Drosophila melanogaster: one gene and its partner. The protein of the gene in region 2 purifies or fractionates together with the protein of the main gene of each other region. This does not show direct contact. Each region holds a gene or a part of one and is shown on either strand. Other genes may lie near its edges. The genes, in order: qkr58E-2 and SC35.

Evidence for each region.
Region 1: the proteins of SC35 (region 2) and qkr58E-2 purify together in Drosophila melanogaster (affinity purification with western blotting, with the first as the bait; one study listed by BioGRID). This does not show direct contact.

What each region holds. Positions count from the first base shown.
Region 1 is NT_033778.4:22,413,743-22,419,537, forward strand, and holds qkr58E-2 (quaking related 58E-2), read left to right. Parts: upstream 1-2,066; 5' UTR 2,067-2,323; coding exon 2,324-2,624; exon of another isoform or gene 2,625-2,685; coding exon 2,686-3,289; intron 3,290-3,353; coding exon 3,354-3,454; intron 3,455-3,509; coding exon 3,510-3,754; 3' UTR 3,755-3,894; intron 3,895-3,950; exon of another isoform or gene 3,951-3,960; 3' UTR 3,961-5,259; downstream 5,260-5,795. Other genes in the region: qkr58E-1 (quaking related 58E-1), read right to left, coding at 359-540, 666-767, 828-1,332, 1,398-1,653; mRpS29 (mitochondrial ribosomal protein S29), read right to left, coding at 5,379-5,795.
Region 2 is NT_033779.5:12,430,389-12,435,890, reverse strand, and holds SC35 (SR family splicing factor SC35), read left to right. Parts: upstream 1-1,852; 5' UTR 1,853-1,978; coding exon 1,979-2,056; intron 2,057-2,181; coding exon 2,182-2,312; intron 2,313-2,710; exon of another isoform or gene 2,711-2,866; intron 2,867-2,940; exon of another isoform or gene 2,941-3,093; intron 3,094-3,167; coding exon 3,168-3,546; 3' UTR 3,547-3,582; intron 3,583-3,686; 3' UTR 3,687-4,816; downstream 4,817-5,502. Other genes in the region: eRF3 (eukaryotic translation release factor 3), read right to left, coding at 468-894; CG5435 (uncharacterized protein), read left to right, coding at 5,104-5,144, 5,198-5,502.

The DNA of each region.
Region 1 (5,795 bases), on a different chromosome or scaffold from region 2:
ATTAATGAAGATGATTTACTGGTTGCTGTTCGGTTTAGTTGATTTGGCCTCTGTTCAGGCATAGTGCATTTAAAATCTTGTTAAAATGGGATGGGTTGCCGTTTTAATAATTTTGGTACGCGGCCTTGTTTCTTTTTCTTTTTTGGTTTCTGTTTTTTTCTGCGTTTTCAATTTATCGGCGCTTAGTTGGATAGATTTTGTTTTGTTTTCGAGTTTTTTTTTTGTTTTGATTTGCGCGAGTTAAGTTTAAACGTTTACATTGCTATTTGTCGTATTCTTTTTCTTTTCTTCATTTTGTTTATTTTTACATGCCTGCTGAGGGGAAGAGATTATTGGTCTAGAAATCTAGGTATCTTACCTGGATAGGCCGCCGCGTAGGAAGAGGAGGACGAGTGGGGGTGATACTCACGCCGATAGTCGCGCTCGTAGGAGCTACTGTCATACTGGGCGTGGTGGGTCGAGTGCTTTGATGTTTGGGGCGGCGGTGTGGCATAGCGATCATATTCTCCATGGTGGTCATATAGCTCGTGGTCCCGTGATCTGTTGAAAAAGTAAGGGATTAAAGGAGGGTTTTCTAACAATGGTTGATAACACAGATGCACGCTATTGAAAGCATAAGAATTTAACTTCTAAAGGCATCATTAACGCGATTGAACTTAGCTAACCTGTGCGTCTTTACGATCCCATAGTTGGGATCGTCCATCACATATCGAGCCTTCTCCAGAATCGAATAGACTTTGGGCTTTGAAGAAGCAGGGGGCGGGGTGCTGTGACGAAAGGAATTCCTTAGTAACCAATTAAAATTCAACGAAAATTGACAAGCCTACCGGGAACTGTAGGCGCCATGATCGCCATAGGATTTGGAATAGTGGTGAGACTTCTTGTACATGCGCTCCTTGCCATCCATCTCGCGTAGTTGCTCCAACCGAATGTCGTCGTTGGCGTCGGGTATCATAAACTTGCGGATCTCGCCTAGCGCATAGCTGATCCTGTGATAGGCCTCCGCTGGAGGGGCCACCGTGGATATCTCCACGTGCAAATCGCGGCTGAGATGGGCGTACTTTGGATTTCCGGAGCTGCGAAGCTCCTCCTCCTTACCGTGGTCGCGCATCGAGTTGCGCCCCATAACCACCATTTTGCACATAGTCTCTTCCTGCAGCTGCCGCAGTGTGTTGCCCTTGGGCCCCAGGATCTTGCCAACGAAATTGAACTTGGGGTACTCCTTGATGGGGAACAAGACTTTCTGGGCCACGCGGATGGGCTTTTCGCTGTACACGTTGGCATATATCTCGGGCTTTGGTATGCGTCCGCTGACCAAGATCTTCTCCACCTCTGCGGGGCCATGAAAAATTGCAATTAGATCCACTATAGCTTACATGTCGCAGCGCCTAACTCACCGTCGTCAAGTAAGCGCTTGGTGATGATGTGCTTCTTCTCGAGCGTCTTCTTTTCCAGCAGGCACTCCTGCAGATACGCGTTGGTCTTCTCATTCAGCTGGGGCGTGTCCCGCAGGGCGGCGTGGCTGGTGGTGTGTCCGCCGCCATCCGCCTCAGGGGTCTCTGGAGCACCGGTAGCCGCTGGCTCCTCGTCGCGTCGCTTCCGCTTGTAGTCGGCGGCGTCCTCGTTGTAGTCTCTGTCGTAGTCGCGCGGCATTGCGTTTTGTAGGATTTCTGGCCTGGAGGATTCGTGAATTTTAAAACTCCTACTCTTGAATACAAAATTCTACTATTGCAGAATTAGTTGGCTGAAAAAATATGTATGTGGTAGGACATCGATAGGTAAATCGGCATCACCGATTCGATAGCGTATTATCGGTTACTGCCGATAACAACCCGCCATCATGTGCATTAGTAGTTTATGACTTATCAATTTTATTAAAAACTTTCCCATAACAAAGAGAGCATTTAAATTATATTTGTAATTTAAAAATCACTAAGTGCATATTATAAATTATTGCCATGCACCTGACGACGCATCTATGTTAATATATAGCGTTAGATAGTGTCTGCAAGCCGATAACAACTATGCGCCCTTAACAGCACCGTCGATTGGCAGCGAACAGCACGCTGCAGAAGCACGAGAGACAGCCCGAGAGACCGGAGTTGCCGGACCGAGCCGCTGACATAGTAAATGTCCGAATAAAATACACACTTGGAAAAAGAGAGAAAAATTAGGGCCATTGGGAAGGCTGAAGTGTGCTAAGTTAGCAATCATACCGAATCGACAGCAAAAGCGATCGCCCGCAATCTGCGCACGGAAAATCCGAGACTCGGCGACTTAGCAGGACGATAGAGCGACAGCGATCCCGAAGGCAGGACGACAAATGGCGGAGAACGGACTGCGCGTGCCAGGGTCATCCGCGGTGGCCTCTGCGGTGGCTTCCACTGCGACGGGAGTCGGCGGTGGATCAGCAGCGGGAACTGCGGGGGCCGGGACAGGAGTGGTGCCCACCGGCGTCAGCGGCGGGACGAGCAACGGGGAGCATGAGAACGAACACAACGCCAACGCAGACGGCGAGAAGGCCCAGCCGGCGCCGGCGGTCCAGAAGTACATGCAGGAGCTCATGACGGAGCGATCGCGCATGGAAAACCACTTCCCCCTGGCGGTGAAGCTAATTGACGAAGGTAAATTGATTTGTCAGGGGCACTTCATGGTAATTACTTTGATTTCCCTCTGTTTTTGCAGCTCTGGAGCGTGTGCAGCTAAACGGACGCATTCCCACGAGAGACCAGTACGCCGATGTCTACCAGCAGCGCACCATCAAGCTGTCCCAAAAAGTGCACGTGCCCATCAAGGACAAGAAGTTCAACTATGTGGGCAAGCTACTGGGGCCCAAGGGCAACTCACTGCGTCGCCTGCAGGAGGAGACGCAGTGCAAGATCGTCATACTTGGTCGCTTCTCAATGAAGGATCGCGCACGTGAGGAGGAGCTGCGCAACTCCGCGGACGCGAAGTACGCCCACCTGAATCTTCCTCTGCACGTCGAGGTGTCCACCATTGCTCCGCCCGCCGAGGCGTACGCTCGGGTGGCGTATGCCCTGGCCGAGATTCGGCGGTACCTCACGCCGGACAAGCACGATGACATCCGCCAAGAGCAGTACCGCGAACTCATGGAGGATCCGGAGGCGGCCAAGAAGCTGACGCTTCGCCAGCTGCAACAGCAGTCGAATGCGGCAGCTAGTGGTGCAGGAGGAGGAGGCGGTGGTGGAGGCGGAAACGGAAATGGCGGCGCAGCTGGATCCGGCAGCAATAATGGCAATGGGAACCAGCGCTCCGGCGGCAACTACAGGTGGGTTGCAGTTCAATGTCCTCTACGAGCCTCGAGTCTAGCTAAACTCCCATGTTTCTTACAGACAAAAGTTTCAGCAACAATCACACTATCGCCACAACGAGGAGACTGTCTATTTTCGCTCACACAACAATGCGTACCACCAGCCAAAACCCTATGTGCCAGGTAAGTCTGGGCTCTCCTGGTCCATAGACCATAGATTCTATGTTCGCTTTTGCAGCCGCCCAACGGGGCAATGCCATGCACACCACCTTGCCACCGCAAGCAATTGTGCGAGCCTCACCGCCCGGAATGGTCGTCAGTGCGGCCAGCTTCAATGGCCGAAATGCCGGACTGGGTAATGCCGGCGGTGGCGGAATCATGGCCAATAGCATCGTGGCCACCACTGGCGGTGGCATCGGTGGCGCTGTGCCGCCTAACATGCGTTACCGTCCCGCTGCCCCCTACCAGTTTGTCAAGAAATAATACAGATGGGAGGATGCACCGCCCGCTGCCGTTCGCTGTTTGTTCAACTATTCCTCACCATCATTGATGCCTCATCCGGAAGTATTCACGCCCATCTGTCATACCCATCCAAACACCCACAACCACACACAGCTCCAAAGGTAGATGTAGTAACTATGAGAACATTGGAAACTTGTCATGCATTGATTTCATCAAGATTTCGGCAGGGTGGAAACCAAAACGAAACGAATGAGTAAATCTATGTTTAAGAAAACTAGCCTAAGTAGACAAATGCTCCGAGGAACAGACGAACACCTCAGCCACCCAACCAAAACCAAAACTAACCGACCAGACAAACACCCACCACCCCACACGCACGCAACCTCTTCTCGAGGATTGGGTTCGAAGGATCACGAGGGTCTGCGATCTAAGACTTTGGAATCCGTGTGTTGGGCCCTGCGAGCATTTGGAAGAGAAGAATTGAAGAAGAAGAACGAGGAGGAGGTGGAGAACGCCTCGATGTTGGATCGGGCCGAATCGAATGGACGCATTCAAGGTTGGTCCCAGTCGAGCCAAATGTCCTTGTTTTGTTTTGTCGCATATTATTAACATTTTAATTTTACCACTGACGCGTGCGAAGATTTCATCACTTTGTAATTTATATAAATGAATATATATATCTCCTTATGCTTACTATCATACGTATCCTTCTCGCAGTCGCTTTAACTCTATTGCTTTTCCAACTCTGCGTTTAAGTTTATCCCATTTTTTGTTGTAATGCGTTTTGTATTATGTTTACGTTTAGAAGAGGAGGCTTCTTATTTTTATTTGTTACGTCGCCAGGACAGAAAAAGCAACTGCAAACGATCATGAATAATATATATAACAAGTATATACAAGCGGTATGATTTATAACACATAGTGCATATGCAACACCACACGATCATACGCGCGTACGCATATTCAAAACATCAGCATATTCACCTAAAGCCGTAAAGTTTAAACCAAATGAACATTAGAAACGCAAACGAGAATCTAAAACACAGATCGGAGCAGGAGACCGATTTCGCCTACGATAATGCAAATGCAACGGACATAGCAAACCACATACGATCAGAGAAAATATGCAAACACATACATACATACATAATTGTTATTGTTGTTAAAAGCAACTAAAATTGTAATAGAAATTATGCAAATATACATACGAATATGACGACAAATGTTAATTGCAGCCTAGTTATTATTTTGTTCATTCACACCCACATCGGAACGGAACCTAAGATATAGTCTTAAATAAAGAGAGAGTGCAGCCAGCAGATCCGCACGGACTAGGCCTAGATCTAGACCTTGTTGACGATGCTTCTACAGCCACAAGACACACGAAACTTGAACACAGCCCTATTTGTATTGATTTTGAACATTGAACACACTGCATGTAAACCCCATACACATATATGTAAACGTACGAAAGTACTGTGCATCATTATGTATTGCTGATTATCGTTAAATAAATTTCCAATTTGAATTTCCCAGACTCATTATTACAAATTGAGTCGTGAGCGTACAGCAAGCAAACCGCATCGTTGTGGTAAATAACAAATCATTTAACTTTATTGGCTAACAAATACAGGACACTCGCTCTCTACAAGGCCTTCACGAGCTGCATCAGCGAGTAGGGGTTCTTGTTGCTCATGAACTTGAGCTGCTCCTCGAATCCCTGCGGCGTCTTGTTGATCCAGTGTCGGTCGAGATAGTAGCTGATGTAGCTGTGGAATTCCTTGTCCGTGTAGTTTTCCACATGGATGGGCACAAACGGATCTAGATGCTCGAAGCCCTCCTTGCCGAGCAGATAGCGCGGCATATAGGAGTCCATGTGGCCCTCAGTCATTGCGATCTTGTCCACGGACAGGATGCATACTCCGTTTGTCCAGTCGTAGTTGGTGATGTCGAGGAAGGGCTGTGTGAGCGTGACCCGATCCGGAGTCACGAGCTGCTTGTTGTCGGAGAAAATGCGAGTAACCGGATGGAAGAAGGCATTGAAGCCATCAATGGCCACCAT
Region 2 (5,502 bases):
CACCTCTGTAGTGATTCTGGTCGTGATTCCTGGGCATCTCTGCGCTGAGCCACTGCTGGCGACACGACGACGAGAAAAGCGGCCAAAGAAAGGGCCCTGGCCGGACGAACTGTTTTTGCGCGCAGGCCGAAAGCGATTAGCCATTTGTTTAGCGGCACAATAATGCCCGCAATTCGAATAGAAGTCAAGCAACACATGCGACGCCGACGTCGGCAGTGCTGACGCAGATTGAGGTTATGTACTAGGGCCAGCGATAATAACCTAAACGGAACCTGGTGAATGCAACCTATCTTTGGGGTTTTCCCTATCCCATTCCCCATTGTTGTGTCTCTGCCAACGGTCTTGCGACCAGCAGGTAGCAACAATAACACGCTTCTTTGTTGACGTCACAGAAGAAGCGAGTTCAATGGACGTGGGGCATGTGTATTTGGCAGGGGGTATTTAGGTAGCTAGCAAGCTCTATTTACCATTGTTTGCGATTTTGTCCGAGGGGTTGAGACCATCGATGGGCGTTGGATCCGCCGCCGCTGCTCCTGCTGAAGGCGTGGTGGCTGGCGAACCCGGCGCTGGCGATGCGGAATTGGAGGATGATGTGGGCGGCTGTGCTGAGGGTGCTGCTGCCCCCGCCCCCTGTGCAGTTGGAGGCGGTGGAGCTGCTCCCGCTGTGGATCCCCCGCTGCCGACGGAATCGGGTGTGGTGGCTGGCGTGGCTGAACCGGAGGCGGGACCCGGATCCGCCGTCTCCTCGGCCGCAGCCGCTGCAACCACTACTGCCGCCGCCTCCTCAGCTACATTCACAACGCTGTTGTAACTGAAACTGGGCACAAATTCTACCGCGTTCACGTTCAGCGTTGAGAACTTTGTGCTGATCTCCGTGTTTTCCTGGGCGGCCATCGTTGCAGTGCGTCCGTAATCCTCCGCAGTGGTTTCCTCCGATGAAAATCTCTCTCTCGCTTTTTTCACGCGACGACACACTTTCGCCCTCCTTCTACAAACTGCTTCAGCTGCTTCTTCTTGCTGCTCCCGCACTCACACAGAACACACGCGGTCGTTCGGAATTCTTGGGATTGCCTATGGTAATGGAAATTGGGAATGGCAAAAGCAATGCCACCAACACACGCACGCCTTGATGGTTGTTGGCCGGGGGGGTGGCTTGTGGGGGGTTTAGGCCAGACTTTCGGCTCAATGTGGTCTACACTTTTGTTGTGACTCGGTGTTGTGTTTGTTGTTTGTGCTTTGCTAGCCTGGCCAACTCGGGTTGAACTCGAATTCCCTTTAATTTGATCGACTATCGCCTGTTTGGGGCAGTGGTGACCACCTGGTGATCTGCAGGTATGATTCGACTACCTGAACACTAAATGCAGTGCTCGGAACTAGCAATCTTCTATTATTTTACACGTTTTAAGCCACGCATCAAGTCAGGGTTGCCACTTGTATGCGGTGTTATCGGTGCATCGATATGTGCTGGCTGTCACAGTGGCCTATAATTGATTTGGGGCAAAGTATTAAGATATTTTTAAATTTTTTTAGTAAGATTTTTAATACTTTTAAAATTATTCAACATAAATAATTATATTGCTTTTGTACTTTGTTCTGATTAATATAATTTTTTAAGGCTAAATATAACGTAGTCCACATGTACATATATAAATACAAACTGTATTTGTTTTATGTGTGACTAGACATTAATAATTTTTTATTCACTTTCAGTGAGTTTTTATAATTATTAATTTAGTTATTTTGTATAATAGAAGTGTAATGCGAGTTTTGTAAATATTGATAAGTGTGTAGTGAGCCTTGGGGTTTCAATACATTTCTAAGCTCATCATCAATGGTATCGAATTACAATCGATGTTGTTCCAGCTCTAACGTCGTGCCAGACGCCATTTTAACAGTAGTGAAAAAATCGTCTGGAGTTTGGCTCGTTTTCAGCATTCGCATTAGCATTTTAGCGGTAAAACAAATATCCAAATAGACAATGAGCAACGGTGGTGGTGCCGGGGGATTGGGCGCAGCGCGTCCACCTCCACGGATCGATGGAATGGTCTCGCTTAAGGCAAGTATCTGCTAAGTAAAATGCGACTAAATCGCCCACAAAATGGCGGCCGGCTGGCAACGTTGTGTGGTTAGGTAACCTCTCCAAAAGCATGTAAATTAATCCGCGTGTAATTATGCCTACAGGTCGACAATCTCACATATCGCACCACGCCGGAGGATCTGCGTCGGGTCTTCGAGCGGTGCGGCGAGGTGGGGGACATCTACATACCCAGGGATCGCTACACACGTGAGAGCCGCGGATTCGCATTTGTTCGGTAAGCATTCACTTCTCTTCCGGGAAAATTGTGAAAGTCTTAGGTCTTTTTTGTTTTGTTACTTTCACTTGCCGGCGGTGGATTTTAATTATCATGGGACCTAAAATGTATCCATACATACTAGGAGTAAAATATATGTATTTCCCGAAAGTATACTGCGAAAATCATGCTATACAATCACTCGTCATATCCGCTTTCACTATCTACTTTATAATGTTTCATTGAAAACTAGCACATTGAGGAAAAATGTTATGTATTCCCTGAATTAATCAGGGTATGCAAGCAAATTACAAAAGTCTCAGAGTAATCATTTAAATATCATTTGAATATAGCTGCTATAATAAGTACGCCCCTTGTCTAAACTCAAATATTCCTCTCATTTCATTAGAACTATTTGCATTATTTGCTATCATCGATTGTGTATCAGTTGCTAATCTGTACACTTTCAGTAGCAAAATGGTGCCAGAACAAATGTGTTCACTTGCAACCGTTGCCTACTCAACATTTACTAGCCAACGTACAGAGAATACTACATCTAAATAATAAGTTCTAAAGTTATAGTTTCATAACATATGGCTTCAATGATACATTAAGTTGATACAAGGTCACTTATTCTATTTATTTGTTGTATCTACCTGCATTATTTGCCCCTTTTGAATGTGTAACAGCTTTCAGTCTGTACATCTTCTTTAGCAAAAGGATGCTAGATTGAATGTGTACACTTGCAACAGTTGCCTACCAAACCCCTGCTAGCCAACTTACCGTAAGCCCTACAATTAAATATAGACTTAAATATAAATAAACGTATGTGCAAAGTACACACGAATCTAGTTGATCATGTCCTTAATTTTTTAGCTTCTATGACAAACGTGATGCCGAGGACGCACTGGAGGCCATGGATGGTCGCATGCTAGACGGCAGGGAGCTCCGCGTACAGATGGCCCGCTACGGACGCCCCTCTTCGCCCACTCGCAGCTCCAGTGGTCGTCGTGGCGGAGGAGGAGGCGGTGGTTCCGGCGGGCGTCGTCGGTCACGTTCTCGCTCCCCAATGCGCCGTCGTTCGCGCAGTCCGCGTCGCCGATCATACTCCCGTTCCCGCTCGCCTGGTAGCCACTCGCCGGAACGCCGATCCAAATTTTCACGCAGTCCAGTACGCGGCGACAGCCGCAATGGAATCGGAAGCGGATCTGGAGGACTGGCCCCAGCCGCGTCTCGTAGTCGCAGTCGCTCCTAGATATCGACGTCACGTTCCATTTAGTGGGAGTGCGAGGTGAGTTCATATCGTGTAACGCTTCAGAAAAAGCTTTATATAAGGTTAAACATACCTTACGTTAAATAGGGATTATTTTAAAACTAGTTGTTCTTTGCTTTCAGATATGACTCGCTGACTAGGGCCAATGCTGTATCCTGTTCCGGATCTATGGCTCCATCTGTGTCATGCTGTACCCGAACAGCAGGTATAGAAACCATTATACAATCTTACACTTAACACAACTATTTATAGCGAACTATTTTAAGTTTCGGCAGAGTAAATAAGTAGAGATCAGGCATGATTATGTTCCGAGTGAGATCCCCGCAACCTGGGCGATCCCTCGATGTCGGTTCTTGCACATAGGCTTTCATATACTAGAGCGTAGTAGAAATCCTTGAACGTAATCAGAAACAGAACAAAATAAACTCAAATTAACACGGCTTCAATTCAATACCTAAATATCAAATGACAGACAGGACAGGAGGAGAATGAGAGGTGGATGAGTGATAGGAATACTCTAGGATTCTGTTTGTTTCGTTGCGATTCGATTCGATTGCGTTTGTGTTGCTCGTTTCCGTTCTTTGTACCTTTTAACGACAAACTTATTAACAAGCTTCTCCCACACGTTTATTATATATATGCAGGCGAATGGTGTGTGGCAGTTGTTGCGGTTCAGATAAGATTGTGGTTAAATCGCTCGCGATTAAGGATCAGCAGCAGCGCATCATCTAAGCTACAACTCCTTCCTCACGTAGGCGGACACCGCGTGGCTCCTGATTGTTGCTACTGCTGCTGCTGCTGCAGATGCTGATGCTGATGCTGCTGCTGTCGCATGATGCTGTTGCTGGTGCCGCTGATGCTGCAGTTGCAGTTGCCGTAGCCGTAGCAGCTTCCTGTTTCCTGTTAGACGCTGGCGCTGCCAAAGCTGCTCCAGATTCACTCATAGTTTCCCGTTTCCCGTCACTTCTTCTCTCGCCTCGTCTCGTCTCGTCTCAACTCGCGATTTGTTGCTGGTTGGCGTTGTTGGTGTTTTCCTGTATCTTGGTGGGCGTCCCTTTTGAGTTTAGGCGAAAAGTCATCATTTGCAGCAGAGGCCACATCGACGATGCGATGGATGCTAGAGTCTGGATTGCATACTGACTCGACCGAAATGTGGGATTCCCTAACGATCTGGTACATTCGGTAAGTGAGAGAGCTAACCCTTTGAATTTGCAGCCTAATTAAACGCTTCAATAAAGTTTTACTTGATTATAACTTAACCATCTACATATGTTATTAATTGGTTGAAATGGGGTTTTAAAACATATATGTATCTTGGAATATTGTAAAGAAAGATCTAGTATCTTCGGATGCCCAGAACATCCATCCATTATGTTTCGGTTTCTATTGACTCCCGAGAAACATGGTAGTCGGGGGGTATATTGACAAAGCAGTTGCCGGGAAACCGAAGGCAAAATCACATATACCCAAGTCCTTCTGAATACGATTCAGAAACCCTTTTACACTTTCATCTAAATTATATTGGTTTCTCCTGCAAAGATGATTCAGTACGATACTGTGCAGATCAAGAATGTATCATGGTAAGCTTTAGTTATGCCCGACTTGGCTCAAGATGACTATTGTGTGCTCTCAGGCAGCCGGAACTGCATACGGAGGGCACCTATGTGTGCTCTTTTCCAGAGCCCCCGCTGCCGGAGGCCCATCTGAAACCGGGCACCTGGCATGGCCATCTGGAGCCGTATCAGCGGCTCTTCTATCATCAAACGATGAACTCGGTGCGCTCGAGCAAGCGGTACCGTGCCAATCCGAACATCCCGAAGGATACGCTGGACTTTTCGCTGCAGTCGCGCTACGATCACACCCGCGAAGCATTTCCGGACAAGGTGGACTACGTGATGCAGAGGGAGACGTGCCGCGCCATAAGTAGCTGGTCAGCTC